4 linked regions of the Astyanax mexicanus genome follow. The protein of the gene in region 1 interacts with the protein of each later gene in a pairwise test. Links are inferred from orthologs where the notes say so. Each region holds a gene or a part of one and is shown in the gene's direction. Other genes may lie near its edges. The genes, in order: traf3ip1, kif5aa, smc4 and smc2.

Region 1 (7,689 bases):
TTATTGCATCTAAATGTGAACTTCTTTATGTTTTCTTACCTGTAGGACCTCTAGTTTTCTACAAGAAACAGCACCCATTGGGACACAGTCAAGTAGATATAGCATAAAAGATATATATATATATATATATATATATATATATATATATATATATATATATATATATATATATATATATATATGGGCTCTTTTTATAGCACATTTTCAAATTTGTTTGATCTACAGGACACATCATCCTAATTTAGTGCAATAAGAGTCAGTCTAGTTAAAACAAAGACAGTTTTTCTTTTACAAATTTAAATCCAAGAGTTTTTTTTCATGGCCTTACTTAAGAAAGGTTGTAAGGAGCAGTAAAGCCACTCTGCTGAAGTGCAGTGTTATACAGGAGTTTTAGTTTGGTTCTCCAGCCCCAAGACTCAAAACTTGAGCAGTATTAGCATTAGCTAGCTCTTTCGCCGTTCAGAGGTGAGTATTATCGGTCTGTAACCTGCTACCAGGTTAACCTGTCTAACCTGTAAACCACTAGCTAATAGCACCCTGGTTTACCGGAACACTTAAGGAAATCTGGAAATCTAAGCTTGCAGCAAATAAATAGAAGCTCCTTACTCACCCAAATAAACTGTATTTAGGAGAGAAATCTGTGTAGATTAACATCCAGTGCTTATTTGAATTATAGTTTTGTTACTTTGCATGGCTTAGATTTAAAGGTCTCGTCACCCAGTGGCAAGACCTGCTGAATCAGAAGGAAAACAGGGCGACACCACTGTTCATTGCTAGTGTCGCATAATGCATCTTAAAATCCAGTGCACCTTATAGTGTGGAAAAATACGTATACATATTTTGAAATGATCTTACCTCTGGAGAGAGTCTGGACTACTTTCTTTTTTCTTTGCATGGAGACGTCACAGGATAAGAAGAAGAGCAATGCGTACACACACCAGCGGCCCATGATTACTGTAAGAATCAGACAAACAGTGAGTATATTGTGCACATGTCTGTGTTAAGTGTTAAATTATCAGTATGATCAGTATGGTGGAATGTGTTTAGTTAAGTACCATACCCCTTTCACATTGCAGCCTGTAGCTATTAAAGGGATTGCTTAAAAAAAAAAGAGGAGGTGGCTGGTTGAGCAAGTGGTTGGACATGATTAACTGGTCGGTTTAAAAGGCAACTGCACTGTTTGTAGGTGTAGTTTTTCTTGAGGATGTTTTACAAATCAGGATATAATAGATTTATTGAAAAATCTTCCTGCAATTGCTAACATGAGCCTAAACACATTTTATATGACAGAACTCACACACATGCGAGTGTATTTACAGCTATGAAACTCACCAAAGAGGTCTGAATATATGGCCAACTGGTCTGTTTAACAGCTACTTTTTTAATTATAAAATATCTACACACATTTATTTGTATTAATGACATACACATTGGGCCAATACAATAAACAAAACATTTTGTAGACATAAAAAAATTGTCTGACAGAACCCACAGGTATGCAGGTATATGTATAGCTATGAAACCCACCAAACTGGTCTGAATATACAAATAACTGGTCTATTCAAAAGCTACTTTATGACCATTCCTTTATGATTTTTTTTTTACAAATCATGTTGTGGAGTAAATATTGAGAACCCTGCATGTGATTAGTTTTTTTTTTTTTAGAAATGCATGTTTAGACAGGCTGGTAAAAGCATTAGCATCTTGTTTTGATTATAATAATTGTTCATAACTTCCTCTATATCTCAATATTAGCTTACACTTATCCCAGTTGTGTGAAAATAAATTATACTGTTGTCAAAAACGAAAAAAAAAAAATCACAGATATACACTTTACACAACTTAAACAAATATGACATTTAATTTGTCACAGCCAAGCATAAACACAACACCTTTCAATTTCCCAATAATACATAATTAATTAAAAAACAATAAATACCAGTTTTTAAGTAAAAAGAAATCTTACCAAAAGTGAAACGGCTGAACCAGCTTTGCTCTTCTGCTCTGTCAGTCTGACAGTATTCATGGTGGTGCAGGTGCATTTATAGCTTAAAAGAACTCGCCAAACAGGTCTGAATACACGTACGAACACATGGCTAAACAAGACGTCCTCCTCCCAGTAGCTTTTCAATGACTCAAATTCTCACATTCATATAAACCACAATTTACAATTATTTTTTCATGTTTTGTTTACTAGCACTAATGGGAATCATGCACAGGTTACACTTGGACAAATACTGATCTCTTACTAAAGAAATACTGAAGTAAATAGAAGATGATCTGATATTTAATATGCTTAGTTTTGAGTCCCCCCCCCCCCCAAATTTTACATTTGACTGGTTTCGAAAAAGGAAAATCAAAACCCACTCTTTGACTGTAAAAGACCTTAAGGAAGATTGACTCTGACTTTGGGGTGGTAGTGCACTTTTATATTGTGACCTATATGTAGGCAAAAGAATACTTTTCTTGTGACACAAGTTTTCAAAGAAACACGTCCTGTGGATTGGTGGAGATAAAATTGGTTTTAGGCATGACCTGTAGAGATACAGCATGCAGGTTCAGAATTTCAGGAAAAGAACCTCTTTTCATAAGAAGGTGACACTATGGCACAAGGACCAGATGCTCAAATCACAGGTCAAGCTGCCTTGCCACCCATTCTCTTTTTGTCCGGGTAGGTAGATGGCACTGTCTGTGATGCTGGCTGGCACAGATGTATGTTGACTGATGTATCAGAACTAGGGATTTGGTGCTTTTTTCTAAGCTCATTGATTACCTAGTGATTCTGCATTTGAAGAAACAACGACTGGCTTCACATGTAACAGAATTAATAGTGATAGAGGACATCCTAATGTGAGAGCAGGTTCATTAGCTAAGCTAAATTGGGGGGAATAAAAGATGGAGAAAATATAAAATAAGAAAATAACACCTGTTCAGTTGTTAATCACAGGGGTGTATTGATCTTGCTTTGGAACTATACAGGGGTGATTTGTAATTAAGAATGTGTGGCTGCCTTTGTTGTGTATGTTGAAGCACAGAATTTGCTTAAACCAGTTAGAGGCCTAGAGGCTGTTATGAATTAAAGGTGTGGTTTTTTCCCTGTCTGTAGCTTTGTTCATGGGACCGGCAGATTTTTTTAGGTGTGTCAAAGAGTGAACAAGCCAGATTTTAGCACAGGCAGTGCTCTGCAATCAGTGATATTGTGAATTGGCTCATTGGAATTGGATCTATTTCATAACCTGTAACTATTATTTCACTTTCACTGTTGTAACACTTACTTTGATTGCAATAATAATGTGCCTTTTTGCATTTATAGTTATAGCAAGCCCACAGCCCTGTAATTAGCAATCCAGAACTTGCAGCTGAGCCACCACTGGACAGCTTTTTATACTGTAGCCTAATATTAATAAATCCATCTAATGTGAAAAAATACAGCAGTTTTTCCATGGTATGATGGTATTTCATGGTACTAAATGTGCAGTGGTATATTCAATATACCACAATACTCAATAGTATCATATAAATATCAAGGACATCTTGAATTATTCAACAGTATTTTTACCATTGTAGTTTTAAACCATTGTACTATTTTGGCTAAGGCCAAGGTAGACAAAATACCATTGAAATTATTTAAAGGATTTCATGTCTATATGGGCACATGCAGAGAGATGTTTAAATTACTTATATATAAAAACTAGTTACTTTTATTCTTCTGGTAAACCTGAACAAAATGTTTTACTTAACTGGAAAATTCCGCATTTCACTCAGTCATTTTATACTTTAATTTTTAACCACATCCATTCTGCCTCTACCTGTTTTTCTTAACCTTAACTACTTTTTTCAAATCACTTTTTATTTATTTGTTTGTTTATGTTTGTTTATTATTTTATCATCAATAATATTTTATTATTGTATAATTTCATTATTAGTTAGTTAGCTTAAGTTTATTTTTTGTACTTAAAATATTACATTGAATTGTTTACATTTTCTTGTTTTTAAACCTTTCTTATACCTATTTATCTTTATCTTTGGTTTACCTTCTTATTATGTATTTCCCTAGATCTGCTATCTGGGTTTTCTGAACTCTTTTTAAAAAAGTCTTAATTTCAGTTTAATATTAATTAATAATAATGATTATTTTCGGGGTTTTTTTCCATTAGTTTTAGCTTGATTACTGTCCTCTGTTTTATTTTTTTTTTATGTAAAGAGTATAAATCCCTATTATTGGAAATTGTTGGCGGCAATGAAAATACGGGCTCACCCTCAGTGCAGCTACCTCTGAGAAAAAAATAAAGATTGACTGATTAATTGATCGTTGCAAAATTATTATTATTATTATTATTATTATTATTATTATTATTATTATTATTACTATCATTATAAGTAGTAGGAGTTCATCTATATCCCCTTTAAATATTTATATTCATATAAACATTACTCTCCATTACTCTCTATTCTGTTATAGTCAGTATATTGTGCAGTAAATGTTTTATGTTTAATTTTTTCATATGTTTAATGTATAATAAAATGTGTTTTTAGCTAAAATCCTGTATTAGCTTTAGCTAAAGTGTATCATGCTATTAAACAGGCCCGGAGTTGTTAGCCGTTGCCATGGATATTTGCCACCCCTTGACAACCACGCAGGGTGTGCGCGTGCGCATATTGGCGAAGCGGGGCATTGTGGGATTGAACGCTATTGACACAGCAACACTGAGAGCCGCTCAGTGATTGTAGCTCCTCCGTTTTTGGGGTCTTTTTGCGGTGAATTACTCAATATTTCACACGGGAGCAGCGGTAACGTCGAATAGAGGACCGTAGGGCTTTGCTATGAACGGCTCGGTGGCTAAAAAGACCCAGGAGGTTCTGGGGAGAGTGATAAAGAAGCCTCCCCTGACTGAAAAACTGCTCAGCAAACCGCCGTTCCGATACCTGCACGATATATTAAGCGAGGTGAGTCCGGAGGAGAGCTGTCTGTTCGGTTATTTACCGAGAAATTAGCTTAAACCGCTAAACATCACGTAACTATAGCTGGATAATTTAACTAGCTCACTAACGTTACTGTGTCTGGCTCTGAACTCCTCGGCTCAGTCGGTCCAGATGCGCACAGCATTACAGGCTAACTAACGGTTAGCACTCCTACTTAAGCTCTCCTGAGCTCTGCAGGGAGCTGCAGATCTGGATTAGTGCTGTAAGGTGATGTGAGGTGGTTGTTCTTCTGCTGTTTTGCACCTTTCCAAGTTTTGCTCTGGCTTCACCACCACTGTAGATTATAGCCCACCGTTATAGCCTAAAGTAACACCACCAGCTTCAGCTAACTAGCTACAAGGGCTAGTCCAAGCCCAAGTTTTTACTAGTGAAACTCAAGTTGGCTAATTAGCTAACCTAGCTCGTGACAGATCTCTGTAGCTAACTTAACGCTAAGTTAGCTAGTTAGTTTTTACTAATAGAAACTATTATTTCAGATATCATCTCTGAAATGTTTAGTTACTAGATCTGTAGATCTACAGATCTATGTGTAGCTAAACACATTCTGACTAGACACACATTACCAGTACCAAACTCGGGTCCTAACTCTCATTTTACTAGTCAAAACTCAAGTTAGCTAGCTTAAGTAGCTGCAGATCTCTGTAACCTGTGTATAGTTAGCCTAGTTTTATATATTGAAATATAATGTCTGAAAGTTTTAATAGTGATTATGTCAGATCTACAGAGCTATAGCTAAACACATTCTGACTAGTCACATCATCTACAGCTCTGGAACAAAAATGAGAGAACAGTTAAAATGATTAGTTTATTATATTTTACCGTATTGAAAATCTCTGGAATATAATCAAGAGGAAGATGGATGATCACAAGCCATCAAACCAAACTGAACTGCTTGAGTTTTTGCACCAGGATTGGCATAAAGTTATCCAAAAGCAGTGTGTAAGACTGGTGGAGAGGAACATGTCAAGATGCATGAAAACTGTGATTAAAAAACAAAATTTTGATTTCTAAATTCTTAAAAGAGCTCAGGTCCTAACTCAGTTTTTTCTATGAAAACTAAAATAACAGATCTCATTTCAGATATAAGCTCTAAGATGTTTATTATTAATAAATAATATTAGATCTACAGATCTATGTCTAAACACGTTTTGATATCTCTAATATTACCAGGACCACATATATGTAATGTAATTGTATTTTTAATCTATATTTCTTACCTATAATTACATTTGTACAAGTAAAATCTTCAGTAATAGATATCTACAATTACTTTTTTTCCCTTACAAAACAAAAATATAGTTCAAGATATCTCCACTGCCATTCTGACTAATATAGTCTAGGTCTGCATCTATGAATCAATTCTGGCTTGTATAGTTTTGACTTCTAGTAGTGTGGGTTAAGGAATTGAGGTTTATATCTCTAATATGGAAATTGTATATAGTTACAGTTTAGTTCAGTGTATTAAACTGCAATTTCTACTTCTCAAAACTACATTGTAGATGTCTGGAATGACAATTTTCAAGAGTAAAGAGAAGTTATACATAATGTAATTATGTAAACAAAAATGTATTATAGATAAGAGAGTGTATTTTAATAATGTAAATCAGTCATAATAATATGACTAGTCAAAATACATAAAGGATATGTTCTCCTGGTAATATAACTAGTGATAATAGCTTGGTCTGTAGATCTGATAGTGTTACTAGTTAATATTACATAGCTTAAATCTGAAATATGGGTTTTTATTAGTAAAAACTGCATTAAAGAGATCTTGAGTTTAGGTTTTATCTGTAAAAACTGAGTTAGGACTTGTATAGTCAAAGTCAAAGTCAAAGTGGTTTTTATTGCCAGTTCAGCTATATACAGAGTACACAGTGAAACGAAACAACGTTCCTCCAAGGACCATGGTGCACATAAACACAGTTTATGTGGGTTCATTTTAGGATAAACCAGCGTCCATAATAGATGGGTATTCTGGAAACCTACATTGTTATTGAGTTATCATTATGATGCTTTTGGGGGTTGACCTTAAGTTAATAATACTTGGTAAGTGGACCTGTATCTAATACTTCCACTGTTTCTACTGTCAGACAGTTATGTATGTCTTGGTCTGTTGTATTCAGCTTCAGATTAGAGAATGAGACACTGTCTCTCTGTTCTGTTAGTGCCTCTCTCACTGCTTCACTGTTGCCAGGCACCTTGCTTAGCTATGGTTATGCAAACAAACGAGGAAGCCTTATGGGTGCTTGTACGGTCTGCATCCGCTTACCTAGCCACAGAGGTAGACATCTACTGATGCTGGAGGAGCAATGTTGGTACCCATCACACCAGTTGTTCCCAACCCTGGCCCTGGATAACTACCACTATATTTTAGAGTTTTTTTTTTTGCTTTTTAACAAATTCAAGAGGCCATATGTGCACATATATGATTTTATTTTCATTTACATTAATGATATATGGATGACACTCTTATCCAGAGTGATTATATACCTAAATCATTTTACACAGGCAAATGTAGTGTTAGAGACATGGTTAACATATCTTTGTTTAGATGTATTTGTCCAGCTGGGGAATCTGCCACAGGAAGGGCAATTTTGTTACCCACTATGTTTGGGTTGTGGTTTCAAACTCTGGTCATGGAAGACCCCATGACGTGCATATGTAGTGTTTTTCCTACTCTAACACACTACCTTCAACTCAGCAAAG
Region 2 (6,944 bases), on another chromosome or scaffold:
TGACCCCTGCTGTGATAATTTGATCGCATTTTGAAAAACTGAATTAGTGAGGTCAGAATGTTGTATGATTTCACCTCCTCCCAAATGTTGGAGGTAGCACCATCATCATTCCAGAGGTTTTTATCCCTCTAGCCCAGATCTGCCTAAAACTTTTTTCTCTGTTCTAGAGAGTCCATTTCTATTGGCAATGATTCTTTGCAGGTAATAGACAAGCTGAGTTTATGCATTTTTTTGCATTTTGTATGTGTCAGAAGTGGTAGAAATGGACAGTCCTTAAGTTTTAGAGTGCATTCAAAAAAGTACCCTTTACGTACGTTTTAACCCTTTCAAACCATGTGTTCATTGCAAAGGAAAACATCTGTCTTCTTCTTTTATGTATTCTTGCAGACAGATTGAGACCTATTATGCATCAGAACAGACATACATCAGCCAAACAGCAGTTTAGCCCTGCCACGGCAATGGAAAAGTAAAAGTCTGCACAGTAAAGCGCTAAATATGGCAGAGTAACACTGATTTTATGAGTTTAGAAATGCTTATGAATGATTGTGAAAAACTTTTATATAAAGGAGTTATATAAAAATTATATGGAGTAAAAATAACAGTGCTAAACAAATTTCACACTTCACTGCAATAAACAGAAAATACATTTATTTTTTTATTTGCTGAACCTTTTTTGGAGTGCATCATAGACAGAAAAGTGGATTATTATTCAATATTTTTTCATCACTGGAGAATACATCAATGTCTGGGGATTTTAGTGACAGCTATGTTGAGCTCTTTTTTTACTTTGTCAGCCCTTATCAGTTCTCTAATTCTGTGTTTTATTGTTTTATGATTTGTAAATGAGCAGATGAAAACTGAATTTGCCTTTCGGATGTCAGCCTACAGTAGTTAGGCTCCACCCATTTACGCTGAATTTTTAAGGAGGGTTTCTACATTTACTGAGCCATTCAGAATAGAGATTATTTATCTATAGCATTATTAAAGTGATTTTGTGTTTTAATCAGAAAAACTAATATTATCAAGTTGCAAGAACTTACCAGCCAGTAAAGCTCAATAAAATGAGTTCAGAGAACTTTAACCTGAAAACTTAAAAATGCTTGTTGAGCCAAAGAAATTAAATAATTGTTGTGTGAACAAAAATCTGTTAAGTTGAATAAACTTAAAATTGTATATATTTACGACTTAATGGAGTCAATGCAAAAGGATGAATTGACTGAGTTAAGTTGAGCCATTTTTTTTTCCTGTACAGTAACAAAGAACTTCTGATAAATGGAATTGCAACTGTTTTTGGGACCTACACACATGCAAATAATAGTAAATGAAATGATATGTGGAATATGCCCCGTCTAATTCATATAATCCTAATTATTTTGTATATCTATCAATTCTTCCGGTGTATTCTTGATAATGATGTTTGAAGCTACTGGATACAATTAAGTATCTATGTACCTACCTACCTACCTGTCCATCTGTCTGCTGTCTGTTTGATGTTTACAGGGCATTAAAAGAACCAGACATTTACACCAATTTTCTGTATCCATAAGACAGTGTGCTGCTGATATACTTGTATTAAAGTCTAATCAATACCAAACGTCCACTTTAGAACCGTTTAAAGAACTGAAAGTCTGAGAAAGTAAGAATCAGGGGTATAATCTCAATGACCCCATAGACCCCTTGCCCCTAATTAGACAAAGTGACTGCATCAGATCTGCATGTTCATAGGCTGTACACATTCTATCTGCATTAAATATCAAGAACATTTTAAAACATTACCAGATTGTTTTGTGTTGTGAAACAATGTGCTTTGTCATTGCTGTAGAACTGCAGAATCAGGGTCTTTTAACGAGAACTTCAGCGCTGGGTATTTATGTTGTTTTCTTTCCCACCCGTATTCAGACCGGCTTTGCCTCGTGTGCTGGGATTGGCTAGAATTCTAGACGGAAAGCCAATCACAGCGCAGGACACAACGTGGAAATGAATAGGGCAGTAGTAACTGTATTTTTTCAGTTTTCTACAAATAATGTACAGATTTTAAGAGATTACCCAAAACATAAAAAAGCCAAATAACTGTAGTGAAACCACTGCTTTCTAACAAAAAAAATAAAAAATAAAAATAAAAATGCTAAATAACTGTAGTGAAAACACTGCTTTCTAACAAAAATAAAAATGCAGTAGAACTGTAGTGAAAACACTGCTTTCTAACAAAAATAAAATGCTAAATAACTCTAGTGAAAACACTGCTTTCTAACAAAAAATGTTAAATAATTGTAATAAAACCACTTCTTTCTAACAAAAACAAAAATGCTGATTAACTGCAGTGAAACCATTGCTGTCTAACAACAAATAAAAATGCGGTAAAACTGTGGTGAAAACACTGTTTTCTAACAAAAATAAATAAAAATGCTAAATAACTGTAGTGATACCACTGCTTTCTAAGAAATAATAAAAATGCTGAATAACTGTAGTGATACCACTGCTTTCTAAGAAATAATAAAAATGCTGAATAATTGTAGTGAAACCACTGCTTTCTAATAAAATAGACAAAAAAAAATGCTGAATAACTGTAGTGAAACTGTTGCACCTTAGCCTGTGTCTGTCTTGAATTATTTCCTCTTTTGGTTCCATGTGCTTCTGTCCTCTGTTTTTCTGTTTTGTTATTGTCCTTTCTCAGCCCTAGCCCCGTCCTAGCCATTTGATCCCAGTGTTATTGTTTTGAATAGTCTTTGTACTTGTCTAACTAAATAGTTATCCCAGTGTTGTTTATTGTGTTTTTGCATTTCCGGTGTTTTCTGTTTTGCTTTTGTTTATCTTGCTTGATTTTATTTCATTTAATTGATATTATCTGCATTTATGTCCATCCTCTCATCCTTCTGTTTGTGACTTATTTAACAAAAAAATAACGCTGAACAACTGTAGTAAAACCACTGCTTTATAATAAAAAATACAACAAATAAAAATGCTGAACTATAATAAAACTACTACTTTCTAACAAAAAATAGAAAAATGCTGAATAACTGTAGTGAAACAACTGCTCTCTAACCAAAATTAAATTGCTAAATAACTAGTGAAACCACTGATTTCTAACAAAAATAAAAACACTGAATAACTAGTGAAACCACTGCTTTCTAATAAAAAATAAAAATGCTGAATAACTGTACGGAAACACCTGCTTTCGAATAAAAAATAAAAATGCTGAATAACTATATGTAAACCCCTACTTTCTAATAAAAAATAAAAACTCTGAATAACTGTAGGGAAACCCCTGCTTTCTAATAAAAAATAAAAATGCTAATTAACTGTAATGAAACCACTGCTTTCTAATAAAAAAAATACAACAAATAAAAATCCTGAACAACTGTAGTAAAACCACTGCTTTCTTACAAAAAAAATGCTGAATAACTGTAGTGAAACCACTGCTTTTTAACAAAAATAAAAATGCAAAATAACTAGCATTTTTAAACCAAAAAATTTTCTAACAAAAATAAAAACTCTGAATAACTGTAGTGGAATCACTGCTTTCTAACAACAAAATACAAAAAAATAAAAATGCTGAATAACTGTGGTAAAACCACTGCTTGATAACAAAAAAAGAACAAATCAAAATTCAGAATAACTTTAGTGAAACCACTTCTTTCTAATAAAATATTCCAAAAATAAAAATGCTGAATAACTTTAGTGAAACCACTGCTTTCTAACAAAATATTTAAAAAACAAATTTGCAAAAAAAAAAAAATGCTGAATAACTGCAGTGAACCCCCTGCTTTCTAACAACAAATAAAAACACACAGTGGGCGCGTCATTCTTCCTCTTACGGGAAAACAGATCCTGTCAGCCTATCGCAGCGCGGGGGGCGTGGTCTGTCTGAATGCGGGTGGGGAGTGAAACACAGCTATACTAGCGCGGATGCGAGTACCGCTTTAACAGCAGCGGATAGACCACGCCCTGCCGTCCGGGAGGCTACAGGCAGCTCAGCATCCTTCGCCCTACAAGAGCTGCTTCACCTTCGCCAAGAACAACAGCGGAACAGAGCAGAGCGGGCGGGCGAACAGCGGCGGATTTACCGGGTTTTTTTTATCTTCGCAGCTCCACCTTTAATCTGCGGCTCTGCTCTCTGCATCGCAGCGGCGGATATAACATATTTACGCAACGTAAGCTTTCACTGGCAGATTTATTTATTTATTTATTATTATTAGCCTTATTTACCTTTATTTTTGTAATGCAGTCTGAATCATATATATATATATTAATAACGCGAATGTTGTTGTTTTATTATTCCAGCCCGCTTTTCTCCAGTCTCGTGCAGTCTCAGTGTGCATCATGACCGAGCCCGCCGCAGAATGCAACATCAAGGTGCTGTGCCGCTTTCGCCCTCTGAATCAGGCCGAGATCCACCGCGGAGATAAATTTCTCCCCACCTTCCAGGGGGATGACACCGTCGTGGTTGGGGTAGGGCTGCTTATCTAGCTTCTTTTTTTTTTTTTTACATAATATGATTAATTTAACCCAGAGATGTAATATATACAGTGTAACGGCTGTGAGGAAGAGGCTGGTTTACTGAACGGGAGAAATGGCGTTGGCTGAGGATGATGCTGAGGCATACTGAGGATGGGCCGTATGACGTAATCACCGCTCGTTTATCATTATTCTCCCTGCTGTAAATCGGTACCCGAGCCATTCATTTAACCTTCGTTGTGTAGAAGCTTTTTCCTCAGGCTGCGGTCAGTGGGGTGATGTAGATCCGGGTGTTTTTGTCTTTCTCTGCTTGGTTGTTTAGATGGTTGGTTAGATGCTGGGCTCTGCTGGGCTCTGCGTTAGTGTTTATTAATGTAGGCCCGTAGGCTGTTTATAGCCACGTTTCCCTCTGATCGATCAACCCAGGTTCTCCAGATCCACAGCCTAAATATCCGTTTACTGATAAAAAAAAGACCTGAAAAAGGGCAGTGATTTATTTTTGTATTTAGTTTTTCTTTTTTTTAATTATGATGATGATGTTACAGATGCTGATGCTGATATACAGGTTCATTCTACAACTGAAGGGAGGGTACTGTGGGGGTTTTGCATCTCCCCCTATAATAAATCTGATTTTTAAAAAATCAGTGTCATATAATAATTCTAATAAATTAATTGCATTCATTTTTTGCTATTAATTACTGTTAATTTATATATGTTTAGGCATTTGTATGTGTACATATATACACAATATTATCTAAATGAATCCCACCCACTCATTATTGACTATTTAATTATTTAATTATTTAAATAGTGTTTTTCAAATTTCTATCTAAATTTTTCACCAATTTAGCTGTATCTATTATACCACTCATTCAGTTGCACTCCCCCTACATGTGAACTCAGCCACCACCTCTTTTTAAAATGCTGTTGATGTAGCATTACCGTGTAGCATCACAGCACACTCGGAGGAAAGCACAGTGACCCACATCTGATACATCAACTAACAGACAATGTGCTGATCCACATCACTTTGTGAGTGATGTGGAGAGAGAAAGAGAGCACTGTCTACCCACCCAGAGAGAGCAAGGATCATCAATACTGTTGATGTATGTTTTTTAGGCATTTGTATTTACATACAAAATAATAGTTAAATGAATCTCAACCACACATTATTGACCATCTCCATCTCCTGATTAATACAGTCCATTTGTTTTTTACATTAAAAAAATTGAACGCTACTAACTGCTATAAATAAGGCTGGGGCGATATGGCAAAACTATGATTTCACAGTATTTATAGACAGTTTTGAATCCATTTGATTAATCAAATAACCTTTTTAATGATAGATAGATAATTAATAGATAATTGAGCTTGTACATTTTTACATATAGAAGCTGTCAGATGAAATCTCAGTAAAGTATCTTTGCACTGTGTTTAATATAAAAGCTGCATATAAGGTTAAAGGCAGCTGCATACTTTTTGTAAAAAAAATGGATGTAAGAACTAAAAATTGTAATAGTATTCAAGAATTACCCATGTATTTGAAGAATATGGAGATCATTTTTTTTTACAATATCACTCAGCCCTTCTATACAGATAATATTGTGAAATTTACAAAAAATAGTAATAATCTCTTTAAAAAATACAAACACTTCAAAACAAGAACAATCAAGTACAAATACTTTTATTCAAAATAAAATGTATTGGATGAAATGTATTCAATTAAATTGCATAAAGTTGGGCCAGTGTTTTTTAAGCACTGTTGATATCCATGATATGCTTAAAAATATATACACAAAAATATGCACAAAAAGATCTCAAAAAATTAGAATATCATTGAGAACTATTTTACTACTTTATTTCAGTAATTCAGTTCATAATGTGAAACTCATATATATTATTCTAATTTCCTGAGACAATGATTTTTAAGTTTTCATTGGCTGTAAGTCATAATCATCAACAGTAAAATAAATAAATGCTTAAAATAGATCACTCTATGTGTAATACATATATATATATATATATATATATATATATATATAATAAAAGTTTCACATTTTCAACTGAATTCCTAAAATAAAGTAACTTTTCACACACACACATATATATTTATTTATTTATTTATTTATTTATTGCAGTAGTATATAAATAACATTCCAGCTTTGTTATCTCTGACATAAAATTGCATAAAATCTGCAAACCATTCTAATAAAGGCCTGTGACCTGCACCTAATGTCACTTTCTCTGGTTGGAAACGTATAAAATGTATGATAGTCAGAGAGATACAGCACCTGTCAAAAGAGACACACCTTCTCATTCAGTATTTTTCTTCATTTCCTTATTTATTTAAATAATTAATATTAAAACATGAAAATAATTAAGAACAATCATGAACAACCCTGTTTCATATTTAAAGAGTGATAACAGAGTTGATTAATGAGTTAAATCTTTTCATAATTGAAATGTACCTACAATTCTAGAATAAGCTA
Region 3 (6,902 bases), on another chromosome or scaffold:
TCCACTTTAAAATCTGATGGTCTTCACTGCAGGAGAATAGTTCATCAGCTGTGGTCCAGCCCACACAGCTGACCAGTTCTGTATGTGCACATTTGTTAAGGCGATCTGTAAAAAGTTATTTTCCCCTACTGATTATTGCATCTCTTTTGGTGTACTTATTTTCATAACACACAACAGCCAGAATAAACAGGGCCAAAATAGGAACAATCATCACGGAAAGCCATGGGAACTGAACCAGCATCATCTCCCATCACTTTTGTCATGTCACATGTAAGCTAAAGAACACTGCACTGACCTGTGGGATCTGTGTTAGGGGCTTTCTGCATTATTTTTCTCTGGTTTATTTTTTCAGACGCCATTAGATCGTTACCACCTACTGTGCAGTCCACCATGGGTGGTAATTTAGTCTTCTCCTGTAAATTCCTTGTATACACGTGACACTGTGGATCAAGGTATGTTAAGTGCCAGCAGAACTTTGAAAATGTAATGTTTGTATTTGGAGTTTTTCCTTAGTTTTGACTCAATTTTGTATTTCAGCGCATCCCTACTCACAAGATAACACTTCTGAGTGTTACCAATCGGTCCCCTGAGGGAACATTTCTTTATTAATTTGCATACTGCTATCCCAATACTTTTGGTATGTCAGTGTTCAATAACAGTCAAAAGTTTGAACACACATTCTCAGCCCATGTTTTCTTTATTTAATTTATTGTACTACATTGTAGATTAATATTAAAGACATAAAAATAAGGGACAAAAATGAATGGAACTGTGTAGTAAAACAAAAAAAGAAATTTGTACTCCACCACCCCTGACCTAAACCTGATCAACGGAGTTGGTGATTTGGGATGAGCTAAGTTAGAGCTTCACAGCATAAAGGAAAAGCAGCAGCTATTGTTCAGCACCTCCAGGAACTCCTTTAAGATGTTGAGAAAAATATTCCAGGTGACTCTACCTCATGAAGACACTTAGATTGAAATACCAACAGTGTGCAGGTCTGTGTGCAGGGAAATTCTGGAACACTTTTTGTAACAAAATAAATAAAGCTTTAATGTCTTCAATATAATATTTGTAATTAACAAATCGTAAAAAGAAAGAAAAAAACATATTGAGTGAGAAGAGGTATATCCAAATTTTGACTGGTACTGTAGGTCCTGGCCAAATAATGAAACAGACAGCACCCCTATTATCATTGGTGTTCTTATTATTAATATCAAGCAGTAACGGTTATGATTATTGGCATGTCTTGTGTTTTGTTAACATGGCATTTGTAAACATTTCGTGATCTGTAATGTTTAAGTTACTTGTTTAGAAAATGTTGATTAGAGGAAAATATCCTTTGTTAGGCTACCGTTAAATTATAATACATCTGGGAACTCCGCAGCTGGTTAGCTGGTTAATACAGAGTTAAATCACGAAAGGATATGTTTCGGTTCCTTTAACAGAGAGAGCTTGAATCTCATGTTCTCCTTCAGCGTAGGTGTAGCATAAAATCAAAATCCTGTGGAGAGTCAGGACAGACATAGAAGAGGATGAATTCCACATAATTAGCTACAGAAATATTACATATTTCGACTCATGACAACAGTCATTCGTTGCTAAATAACTTACATAAATGGATGAAATGTGGTCCAACAGCTTCGTCCACCGTCTTCAACAACGTCTGTGATACGAAAACATCTCAAATGTGTCTCTTTAACACAAAAAAACAGCGTAGCTTCAAAAGGCGGCGAAGTAACGTTATGGAAATCCTTCCTCCCTCTGAGCTAAACCTCGTTGCTACGGGTAACGCGTTGACTGCCTGTCTACTAGCTCAAGCTAAAGCTAACTGTATGAAACCAACGGCTGTTTTAACAAAAAATGAAGTCGTAAAAACTAACAGAGCTCTTTCTAAAACAGAGAATAGACTGTATGCTTACGTCTCTGATAAAGCTAGCTAACTCAGTGCACATTCCTCAGAGTTCTAACGTGTTTTGTTTCTGTTTTTCAGGTTGCCCAGTGCAGCGCTACCCGAGAAGCTTCTCCAGAGCCATACTCTCGCGATATTTCACAATGAGAGCTCGTCTGGCTACACTCAGACACATTTTATAGAAATAAGACTGACCAAATGTCTCTTTTTTATCAGACACGCCCCCTTATGGCATCTAAAAATGCGTCTGATATTTCTACATTTTGTAAAATGTCTGGGATATTGATTTTATTGAAGCCCCGCCTTCCTGCATCCACGATTGGTCTATTTTTCTGCTTTCCCATCAACCATTGGTCAAAGCACTGCCCATCACAACCTAAAAATGCTTTCAACAGAAGTGTTAATAACCACAAATAAGTTCTACATTAGAAAAGTTTAAATTCTAAATCAATAATAATTACAACCTGTAAGGCACACCATGAGAACTCAATAGTATCCCTCATTTTTTTCACATTATTATTTCTTGTGAGACTCGAGTTTATATGAGATTTATTGTTCATATGGACTATTATTATAAGTCAAAGGAGAATTAAATATTTAAAACATTGCCTGCACTCTGCTAAAACCCCAGACAAGACTATATATACACATATATACACAAAGTATTTGCCCCCTTACATATTTCTTTTGTTTTTGTTTTTTTGTCAAACTGATATTTTTCTGATTATCAAACAAACTTTAATATCAGGCAAATATAACCTAGTAAATATGAAAAGCACTTTTATTTATTTATTAAAAGAAAAAAAACTATCCAAACCAATGTAGCCCTGTGTGAAAAAGTGTTTTCCCCCATAAACCTAATAACTTGGTTGTGTCAGCTGGCAGCAACAACTGCAACCAAGCTTTACTGATACCTGGCAATGAGTCTTTTACATCTCTGTGGAGGATTTTGGTCTACTCTTCTTTGCCCACTCTTCTATGCAGTTGTTTTAATTCAGCCACTTTGAAGGGTTTTCAAGCATAAATAGCTTGTTTAAATCAGACTTTGACTAGGCCACTCCAAAACCTTTATTTAGTTTGTTTAAGCCATTCAGGGGTGGACTTGTTTGTCTGTTTGGGTCATTGTCCTGCTGCAGAAGCCAAGTATGCCTGAGCTTAAGGTCACAAGCAGGTGGCCGGATTTTCTTCTTCAGGATTGTCTGGTGATTGGTTTGGATAGTTTTTTCCATTATAAATTAAATTATAATTTAGAAAGTGTTTTTTTATTTACTTAGGTTATGTATGTCTGATATAAAAGGGGAAAATACTTTTTCATACCACTGAATATATAAATATATTTATTTACTTTTTTATTTATATTTTATGTACGCCATGTACAAAAAGTACCAAATGTATTTCAATTGCTATCATATTATTTTGAGAACGTAAGTAATTACTTTTTCAAAATAATAAATTAGTATCTTAAAAAAAATTAACAAGTAATTAAACAGATTACATGCTATAATGATAGATGATGCTGAAACATTTAAGTTAGTGTATCTTTTTTAAAATCAAAATTGCTATCTACTTGCCTGCCAAGTATATATTAAATATCTTACTTAAAAAAAGACTTTCTCTATTTTTATTTCACATTTTGTAAGCACTGATATTCAGACTATAATATCTAAAATCAGGTTTATATAACCGCCCTCTCCGTCCACCGTGGTGGTGAGTTTTCCTCAAGATCCTCTGGACTAAACCAATAGCTCAGACTCGGCACATGCGTTGTGTGATACATTTCTGCTGTTCACAACACAGTTTATTGCTCAAATCCCTTAATATTTTGGGTAATGTAAAAAAAACAGAACTAAATCACGTTTTTAATGAGTTTAAAGACGGTATTAGCTGTACAGCTGAACATCTGAACACGACAATTGGCACAGTCCGCACTTTTCTGTTTGAATTTGGGCACTGAAGTCGGCGCAGGCTCCCATGATGCCTTGCGCGGGTTTGTAACGAATTTAGGCGCCATTTTCAAGTTGGATTTTCCTCATCACAGCGAAAATAAACGGGCTCGGATTTATGCTATTTTTATATTTAAAAATTACAAACGCGTTTTTAGGCAGTCGACACGTTTGGGTTACATAGGAGAGCGTTTTCAAACCTGAGAGGTAAGCGGTTTTAATTTAGTCACGGAGCTTGTTAGAGAGGCAGTATTGTTTTCAGCAGCTATTAGGGGGAATATCACTGACTGACGGCAGACTGATTTTAATGTAAAGCTGGAAGTAGACTATTAACTGCATTTTTATAGTATACACGTGCAAATAGTCAACCGTTAAGACATAAATCAACATACAGGAACTATGTTAAAAAGTTAACTATGCTAAATAACTTTTACTTACGAGCGAAATACATTTAACTTAGTTAATGCTAGCTTAGCAAAACTAGCTAAAATAGCGTTAGTTAACTTAGCTGTCTAGTTATGTAACTGTTAACTGACAAGCTAGACTAACGCGAGCTGGCTAACGTTAGCTAGCTAGGTTAACTAACATTAATTTGGTTCAACTAGCTAGCTAGTTAGCATTCACGTTTTTTGTTATTAGGAACATGTAAGCAGAAAACAACATTTAAACATTAATCTAATAACGTTACTCCCACGCTGTGTTGTGGTTTAAGGTTTTCATTGCATTTGTTTTCTAACTAATACTTTCATTTGGATCTAACGTTATAACAATTAACTTACATTAGCTAAGCTAGGTTACTAAATGTATTTTAAATACGATTCAAAATATCGGATATATTAGCTAGGTTAGCTATATAAAACGTCGCTCTAGATAGCTTGCTACAACTCCGTAACATATCCTAACTATTTAGATTAACTAATTTAGCGTTAAGTTATTAAAAAAACAAGCTATATTTTAACCCTTGTTAATTTAAAGCTAGATTACCTAAATTAGCTTACTAGCTAGTTAACTATACACGTGTTAACCTAACACTCGGGCTCCTTACATCTAGTTAGCTAACCTTGCTAGCTAAAAGTATTGGATGGAGCACAATAATTCTTCCAGACAACACCGTTTTCCAATGCCTCACAGCTTAATGCTGGGGGGGCTTTATAGCTAGTTACGATAACTTTTTAGTTAACGTAGCTAAGCTACCATAGTGCCAGCATGTTCATGTTTATCTACCCCAGGGAGTTCAAGCTAGTTAAATTTCCTATATTGGCAGTGTTTCTCTAAAGGGACTAGACAGGCTGTGTGTGTCAAACCCACCAATGCATGTAGTTAGCTGGCGTTCATTAGATGGTGTGTACACAAAAATATTGGACATATTATGTAGGTAGGTAGGTTAACTTATCAAGCTAGCTAGTGTAGTTGTAACGTTATATACTATCTTCCTCACTCTTTATCTAGTTAGCAAACTAGCTATTATAGTCTGTCTATTTGTGACTAACTAGGATTAGTTGGCTAACTAACTACTAGTCTAAATGCAGATTGGCGCCACTAATCAATAATAAATAAAAAAATATCTAGTGTAATAATAGGTGCTTGTATAAATGTGTAATTGCACTTAAACAAGATAACGTTAGTTTTTTTTATTAGCAGAAACAAATGTAGTTCGCCTTGGCAGCATCAATTCGCCCTTTCGCGTCTCATAGCTCGTTGTTGACAGAGAGAAACGTCACCATTTTTTTTTTCATCGTCGTGCTAGTGCAGGGCAACTCTTGACGCTTTGTGTGTGTGAGCAGTGAAACTTTGGTGTTTGGTAGTTAACCTAGCTAGTTGGCCACCGTGCAAATCGTCAGCGTTAGAAAATACGTTAGAGCTTATTTTACGGATATTCGGCGGGGAAATATCAAATTAAACCAAAGCTACTTTTTAAACTAGGCTTTTTTATTATTTAAGATATTTTTAACCCATGAACAGCTATTCGCCTAACTGTTGGAGACGGTGGATGTTCACGTCAATGCTTAATTATTCTTTAAACGCTTTTTTTTTTTTGTGAATTACTAGCTAACTCGCGTTACTACAGCGTATACACGGAGGCAGGCTTGCCAACCTCTGACAACAACAAAGACAGGACAGGTCCAGCCAAGTCTATCTAGCTAACATATCGGTCTCATTCATGCTGCTGCTGGAAGTAGTCGAGGAGTTTAATGCATCGCAAAAAGACCAAGTAACCTGAATCAACGTCGTGTGGATACTCTCGATTATTTATTATTGATTTTTTGTTTTACTCTGGAGAGGAGATGGATATGAAGGAGAATGATTATGATGATCATAATGATGAGCACCGGCTACACTGGACCGAGTCACCGATTCAGGCCGGGTTGGATCTATTAAAGCTAGCCATGATTACTGACCCCTGCCCAATTTCTCCTTCAGATTTTAGCCAATCATGCCAGGAAAAACGACCAAGTCCTCCACTGCTGCTAAACGAGGAAAAGGGTCTCAGGATGACTCTGACGAGGAGATACACCAAGCCCCCACTAAAGAAGCTCGCTCGGGTGACCAAGACCTGCCACCAGCACCCAACACTAATGGTAAGAAACAAAGGATTGCTCTACTTTTTGCTCTTTGGCAACAACATATTAAGGTTGTCTTTACTCTGGGTGTCGCGTATGGTATTTTTGGACGCGTGTTTTTGTGAGTTTATAGTTATATGGTTATTTTTGTGGTTGTTATAGTTGCTTTAATATTAATATGGACGTATGCAATGTAAGCTGGTATATTTTATGTTTTTAGTTTAGTTTGAAATGATAAAGACAGGAGTCTTAGTAGTGTTGTTTTTGTTGGGACAAGTTTTAAATAATTGACCTAAAGCATTAACTTAGCTCTGCTGTCCTTATTCTACAGAAGTTTTTGTACCCCTTCTCTATGTATATCTTCTTTCTGTGTGTTTTCTAACTTGTTTTTATTTTTTTGTTTTGTTTTGAACGAAAACGTGTTAATAAAGTTTCTGTCTCCATCTTATTCGTGAACTAACAATTTAGTGTAATCTGTCTTGATAGGTG
Region 4 (7,219 bases), on another chromosome or scaffold:
AGGGGGGTGTCTTCTTCTTTTTCCCTTTTAAATAAATTGAAAGCACTTTAGCTGAGTCTCAGAGGATCAGCACTTCCCCTCACCACCAGCAGCCTAACAGACCCAAACCCGCTTACCTGGCGTCAGCTCGCTCACATCTAATGACAGCTGCAGAGGAAAATATCGATTATCTTTTTACAGAATAATAAGTGTGCGTGTGTGAGATGGATGCAGTGCGCATCTATGTGAATGAATTTTATAGACATAAATTATGCATTTCTAAATCAAACTCAAATTGAATATTTACGGTCGATAAAGTCTCTGAGTGGTCTCAGAGCAACTGGTCTTTAATTGCCTTTATAACAGATTTAAACTGAAAAGCCCTTTGGATCACTATTGATACCTTCAAAAGAGAGAGAGATAAAGAGAGAGAGAGAGGAAGAGAGGGAAAGGGAAGGATAAAGAGAGAGATGAGGGGAGATAGAGAGTAAAAGAGATATAGAGAGAAGCAAAGAGAGAGCGAAATAAAGGCAGTGGTGAGAGAGAGGGGGAGATAGAAGAGAGATATAGACGATGGAAAGAAGGAGTTAAGGAAAGAGAGAGAAAGATATAGAAAGTGAAATATAGAGAAAAGGAAAGAGAGAAAGACAGAAAATAAGAAAGAGGGAAATAGAGGGGGGTGAGACAGAGAAGAAGCAAGAGAGAGAGGAAGAAGGAAAGAGAGAGATATAGAGATAAGGAAAGAGAGAGTTAGTTTTCTCAGTTATCTGTTGGATCTTCATGTATTATTTGAATTGATTTTGGTATACTGATCATTGGTGTATTGATCACTGATATATTGATCAGTGGTGTACTGATTGAGAGATGTCCTCTCTGCTGAAAGAGGAGATGCAGAGGGTTCTGTTCGGACCGGAGGAGCACAGACTGGTGGAGTTTATCGAGATCGAAGAGAAGAAACGAGGACGGCATTTCCTCTGTGTATCCGGTAAGAATCTAACTAACAGACACATTTCACATAAATCACACAAAAATCTTTCAGTCCAGTATTTTAATCTGCTTGTATATAAGGTAAATCTTCATAGTAAGAAATCACCCAAAGTCTAATTATCTATTTGTATAAACTCAACATATGTGTGTTCTGTGTGTGCATATATATGTTGTGTGTGTGTATTGTATATATGTATATATGTTTGTGTATTATGTGTGTGTGTGTGTGCAGTATCTAAAGGTAAGGAGGTGCAGATCACAGTGGTTCGCTGTAGGAAATCTCAGAAGTCTGGGTATAAGAAAGCTCAGCGAATAGGATTGGAGGACAGCTATGTAAAGACGGAGGTCTGGGCTCTGCAGGAACTGAGGGTTCTGGATGGACGAGATCCTGATATAGTGAGTTAATGCCAGCACTGATTCATCAGCAGCTACACCATTACAGACCCCTGTATTCTTGGTTGGTGGGAAACTTGCAAATTCAGCAGCGTATCAAATATGTCTTTTTCCCCACTGTATGTGTCTTATTATAATAATTATATTTCCCCACCTTCCTGTATCTCCCAGATACAGTGGCTTGAAATAGTATTCATACCCCTTGAACCTTTCCACATTTTGTCACCTCACAACCACAAACTTAAATGTATTTTATTGCGATTTGACAAGTGATAGACAAACACAAAATGTTGCACAATAATACATTTTCTATTTTTGGATGATGAATTGTACAGTGCTCATTGGGATGTTCAAAGCTTGAGATATGTTTTTGTAAGCTAAACCTGCTTTAAATTTCTTCTCCACAACTTTATTTTCTGACCTGTCTGGTGAGTTCCTTGGTCTTCATGATACTGTTTGTTCACTCTTGTTCTCTAACAAACCACTGAGGCCTCAGTTACACACAGCTGTACTCTCTTAACTAATTAATTGACTCTGTTGCGCTGGATTGTATTTAGGGGTTTTAGAGTAAAGAGGGCTGGATACTTTTGCATCATACTTTTTTTATAATCATGTATCATTTTTTCATTCCACTTTGTGTTTGTCTTAAAATCAGTTAAAATCTCAATAAAATACATTTAATTTAAGTTTGTGGTTGTAAGGTGAAGAAATGTGGAAAAGTGTAAGTGTAAAAGGGTATGAATACTTTCGCAAGCCACTGTAAAACAAATCCACTGTAAATATTTCAAACACAGACAGTATCAAATAGTGTATAGTCAGGAATGTTCATACAGCTTTAAACTTAAATACAGCATTTGAAAACTGTATGGATTAAAGCCCTGCAGCACAGTGAGCTCACTGATTGGCTGAGAGGGCAGGGAAGCCGTATTGGTATAGCATGATTGATGGTGTCTGAAGGGCAGTTAAATTAAAACTGCATTTAAATTCACATCCTTCACTGTATGATCTCTCTGTTTCCTCCGGCAGGACGATCCCTGTTTCCTGATGCACTTTGATACAGTGCGTCCGGTGAAAGCGGTGAACTGTGCGGCGAAGTATTCCCTGGCCCGATGCCTCCTGGCTCTCAGTGAGACCCATCAGCACAGCGAGCTCCGCATCCACAACTTCGACTGGACCTACGTCCAGCCCACCTCCATCTACTCCAGCAGAGGCGACTGCATGGTCCTGATGAGGATCTGCTTCTACGCCTTTAACCTGGTGTGTCTCACGCTGTGTCCCGTACCTGTTTAGTCTCACTATTAACAGTATTTCTGAATCACCTGCAGCTGTTCTAACATCTCACACTCAGGTAAACACTGAACACCTCACTGCAGCTGACAGTCATTTCATCCTATTTCAAATCTCTTTTTTTTTTACAAATAAGTTGATTTTCATTTATATCACTGTTAACATTTTTTATGTACAATTGATTTTATTATGTTTACCTTGTAGACAGAATAACCTTATTATTTGCAGTGTTTTAAAAGCTACAAATAAAGTAAATAATACTTGTAAATGCTTGATGAATGTTTGAATATTGTGTTTTTATATTTTATTGTAACAATCCATTTGTCATGAGTATTATTTTCATAATAACTGCCTTTAATTCCCTTCATTAATACAGTATAGTCATGAAGTCTCCTTAATTATCTTGTTCCCATGTCTTATATATCTTGTTCCAATGCATTATCATATAATTCCCATGCCTTAATAAGTTGTGGTCATTTTTTTTAACAAAATGTTACATTAGGGGCTATGCACCTTAGCAAAAACATAATATGCATAGACGCCTCATCAACTAAGGCCGTCTATTGGAGCTGAAGTTCAGCGCGGCCGCCCCCAGTGCATTTATAAGTACTGAGGAAGGTGTTTAATAAAGCTATAATAATCAGCTATCATTACAAATATGTGCTTTCATGCTGAAATACGTTGTATTATGCTCTCTAACAAAGACAGACCTATGGTATGGCATATTAATAAGTGTATAAATAAATGTACTGTACGCCTTTATGCATATATATAAATAAAGTGTGTATTTATGTATTGTTCATATTTCAAATGAACAATAAAACTTGTTTTTTTGTTTACTTTGTGTATTTACTTCATGTATGCATGGCCCGGCTTTGAGGATCTGAAATTCATTTAATACAAACTGTAATAATTATAATAATAATAATAATAATAATAATAATAATAATAATAATACAATCTAACAATAAATAAAATAATACCTTTTTAAAGTCTGACAACTAGTGTCATAACATAACATAAAATTAAAAGTTGTATTATCAATTTATATTATTATTAAGGTGACGATGCTGGATTACGCTCCAGCCTGTAATGAGGCATCTATGTACAGCTCTGGAAAAAAAATAAGAGACCACTTAAAAATGATGAGTTTCTTTGATTTTACCAAATTGAAAACCTCTGGAATATAATCAAGAGGAAGATGGATGATCACAAGCCATCAAATCAAACTAAACTGCTTGAATTTTTGCACCAGGAGTAGTAAAGGCATAAAGTTGTTCAAAAGCAGTGTGTAAGACTGGTGGAGGAGAAAATGCCAATATGCATGAATATGAACTTTTCTTTGCATTGTTTGAGTTTTTTTCTGCAAATAAATGCTCTAAATGACAAAATTTTTATTTGGAATTTGGGAGAAATGTTGTCTGTAGTTTATAGAATAAAACAACAATGTTCATTTTACTCAAACATAAACCTATAAACAGCACAATCAGAGAAACTGATTCCGACCTGCAGGTGGCGGCACACTCCGGATATATCACTCACAGAGCGCAGCAGAGGAAGAGCGGGGGGGCGGTCTGGCGCCAAATTCAACATTTGAAGCTTTCCGGCGGTTATAGATCAGCGCTGCTGCTGCTGTCTGTTACTATCGATTATCTATCGATTATCTATCAGTTACTGTAGAGCGTCAGTTATAGAGTATAGAGTATCGGGGCGCGCAGTGAGCAGTACAGCGGGGTAGCGCGGACTTTACAGGAGAGATGTATATAAAGTCTATAGTGCTGGAGGGCTTCAAGTCCTACGCGGAGCGGACTGAGATCTCCGGCTTCGACCCGCTGTTTAACGCGATTACCGGACTGAACGGCAGCGGCAAGTCCAACATTCTAGACTCCATCTGTTTTCTGCTCGGAATCTCCAACTTATCGCAGGTAAAAACCGATTAAATACGGAGCCTGGGCTAACTGTGCTAGCGTTAGTTTATATGGCGACTTAGCAAGGCTAGCTAACTGAGCCAGCATTAGTTTATACGGAGAGTTAGCTAGGGTAGCTAACTGTGCTAGCTTTAGTTTATAGGGAGAGTTAGCTAGGCTAGGCTAACTGAGGCGGTGTTATTTTGTTTAGTGAGTTAGCTGGGTTGGCTTAATGAGCTATCGTTAGTTTCTATTGAATTAGCTAACTGAGCTAGCGTTAGTTTGTAGGTACAGTTAGCTAACTGAGCTAGCGTCATTTTATGTGGAGAGTTAGCTAGGTTTGCTAACTGAACTAGCGTAATTTTATGTGGAGAGTTAGCTAGGTTTGCTAACTGAGTTAGGGAAAGTTAGTTAGGCTAGTTAACTGAGCTTGCGTTAGTTTGTAGGGAGAATTAGCTAGGCTAGCTAACTGAGCTAGTGTTAGTTTATAGGGAAAGTTAGCTAGGTTATCTAACTGAGTTAGTCATTTTATAGTGAGGGTTAGCTTGGCTAACTAAGCTAGTTTTAGTTTATAGTGAGGGTTAGCTAGGCTACTACTGCTTATAGTAATAATACTAATATTGAATATATAGATGAAACAATCCCTAAATTATTAAAGTATTTGCTTCTTGTTGAAACTTGCGTTTTTTTGCTGTACCTTATATTTGACCGTATTGGGTTTTCATTACACATTATAGCTCTAATTTTACCTAAGCCTAATTAAATTATTATTGTTTTTATATCTGCAGGTCAGAGCGTCTAATCTTCAGGACCTGGTGTACAAAAATGGGCTCGCTGGAATCACTAAAGCCACAGTGTCCATTGTATTTGACAACTCCAACAAGAAAGAGAGCCCACTGGGGTTTGAAACCCACGATGAGATCACCATCACCAGACAGGTCAGCCTGCAGGCCTCTCTTTGCTTTATCTGTATTAGTGAAGCGTGTTGTGATAAGTCTGGTGTTTAATTCCTCCTTTGTGTGTGTGTGTGTGTGTGTGTAGGTGGTTATCGGTGGAAGGAATAAGTACCTCATTAATGGAGTGAATGCTAATAATATGCGAGTCCAGGATCTTTTCTGCTCAGTTGGATTGAATGTGAACAATCCTCATTTTCTTATTATGCAGGTATGTTTTTATGTTTTTTTTTTAAAGATATAGCTGGTGGAATAAATTATTATTAATTTACAGGATATTTCTGTTTTGGTAACTGTTGTTTTTCTTTTAGGGTCGAATCACCAAAGTTTTGAACATGAAACCACCAGAGGTAAGTGGTACCACGAGAGAGTTAATATTTTCCAACACTGGTTAATTGGGCCAAGAAACATTTGACCAAATACTGGATTTTTTTGCTATTTATTGTTTTGCAAAATTAAATAACAACATTTTTCTTTCTTACTTTATTAAAAATGTAATTGTTCTTAATGAATTAACAGTTTCTATGTTATTGTAATTGAATCATATAAAACATTTCAGGTGCTAAATAGTTGCTAAATAAGTATAAATCATCCCTGTTCGTGGTTTTGAAAACTGGTTTGTTATATAATTTATTCTTATGTAAATGTAATATTCTTGTGTAGATTCTGGCCATGATTGAGGAGGCTGCTGGTACCAGGATGTATGAGTGCAAGAAACTTAGCGCTCAGAAGACCATCGAGAAGAAAGATGCTAAACTGAAAGAGATTCAAACGGTACTTGTGTTTGTGTGTAGCGTGTGTGTTTGTGTACTGTGTGTAGTTTGTGTTTGTGTAGTATTTTATTGCTTATATAATGGATAAAATCTTCTTTAATCACAGATCCTGGAAGAGGAGATAACCCCTGCTATGGAGAAACTGAAAGAGGTCAGTCACAACACTCCCAGCACTACCAGTTTAGTAATATATTAAACCAGTTATTCTTAAACCAGTTATTCCCAGTTATTAGTTTGTCCATAAAGCTGAAATGTTTGGTCTGTTTATTTTCCACTAAATTCCTTTTGAATAATCTAAGTACATAAATTTAATGTAATTGGATTAATTTGGTATTTTTTTATATATATTTTTAAATGTTTTTCATTAATCTGATAATCCTAAAATGTTATACAAGGCATTTAAACACAAAATGGTCTTACATTATGGGAGGTTTTATTGTAAATTTTATTACATTTCTAACGTTGCTGCCTTCGCAGTTTAAACTGCAGTGATGCAGAGTCAGGGACACATATGGACAGGCAGTAAAATTAATGTGGGTAGCTGCATAGGGCGCTCGCACAGGCTAAGCCAAAGGCATGTTGAATCACCGTAGAGGTTTAAACTGCCTTAAGACCCCTCTGGAACTCTTCTCCGAGGCTTCGTTTTTCACTTCTAGAGTGTGACAGCACCAGTCACAATGAAAAGCTCCAGCCACAGCTTATATAGATGAACATGAATAGTAACTCAGGTACAGCAATAAGTCCCACTTTTACATGGGTCACATGATCAGTCGAGCGTGCAATGGAAACCATCTTACAATGTTGATACTTTTTCAATAAATTTAATTTCTGTCTGTTCTTTCGTTCCGTCTGGGTGGGATATTTATTATTATATGTATTATCATGGACGTGTAATCAGCTCTAAAGATTCAGCATCAGTTATTCACTGTTTTGTGTCCTA

What was found.
Region 2: the proteins of traf3ip1 (region 1) and kif5aa interact in a two-hybrid assay, tested with the Homo sapiens proteins (2 studies listed by IntAct). The link is inferred for Astyanax mexicanus from reciprocal best matches to the Homo sapiens genes TRAF3IP1 and KIF5A.
Region 3: the proteins of traf3ip1 (region 1) and smc4 interact in a two-hybrid assay, tested with the Homo sapiens proteins (2 studies listed by BioGRID and IntAct). The link is inferred for Astyanax mexicanus from reciprocal best matches to the Homo sapiens genes TRAF3IP1 and SMC4.
Region 4: the proteins of traf3ip1 (region 1) and smc2 interact in a two-hybrid assay, tested with the Homo sapiens proteins (2 studies listed by BioGRID and IntAct). The link is inferred for Astyanax mexicanus from reciprocal best matches to the Homo sapiens genes TRAF3IP1 and SMC2.

What each region holds. Positions count from the first base shown.
Region 1 is NC_064418.1:38,618,473-38,626,161, forward strand, and holds the start of traf3ip1 (TRAF3-interacting protein 1), read left to right. Parts: upstream 1-4,665; 5' UTR 4,666-4,824; coding exon 4,825-4,947; intron 4,948-7,689. Other genes in the region: agr1 (anterior gradient 1), read right to left, coding at 856-954, 1,967-2,042.
Region 2 is NC_064419.1:9,770,981-9,777,924, reverse strand, and holds the start of kif5aa (kinesin family member 5Aa), read left to right. Parts: upstream 1-3,937; 5' UTR 3,938-4,151; intron 4,152-4,281; 5' UTR 4,282-4,320; coding exon 4,321-4,449; intron 4,450-6,944. UniProt on the Homo sapiens protein: Microtubule-dependent motor required for slow axonal transport of neurofilament proteins (NFH, NFM and NFL). Can induce formation of neurite-like membrane protrusions in non-neuronal cells in a ZFYVE27-dependent manner.
Region 3 is NC_064411.1:42,058,533-42,065,434, reverse strand, and holds the start of smc4 (structural maintenance of chromosomes protein 4), read left to right. Parts: upstream 1-3,886; 5' UTR 3,887-4,059; intron 4,060-6,273; 5' UTR 6,274-6,286; coding exon 6,287-6,431; intron 6,432-6,902. Other genes in the region: ift80 (intraflagellar transport protein 80 homolog), read right to left, coding at 1-86, 1,429-1,463. UniProt on the Homo sapiens protein: Central component of the condensin complex, a complex required for conversion of interphase chromatin into mitotic-like condense chromosomes.
Region 4 is NC_064432.1:23,820,828-23,828,046, forward strand, and holds the start of smc2 (structural maintenance of chromosomes protein 2), read left to right. Parts: upstream 1-4,205; 5' UTR 4,206-4,403; coding exon 4,404-4,571; intron 4,572-5,341; coding exon 5,342-5,491; intron 5,492-5,594; coding exon 5,595-5,717; intron 5,718-5,817; coding exon 5,818-5,856; intron 5,857-6,169; coding exon 6,170-6,280; intron 6,281-6,385; coding exon 6,386-6,430; intron 6,431-7,219. Other genes in the region: exoc1l (exocyst complex component 1-like), read left to right, coding at 844-964, 1,199-1,362, 2,386-2,649. UniProt on the Homo sapiens protein: Central component of the condensin complex, a complex required for conversion of interphase chromatin into mitotic-like condense chromosomes.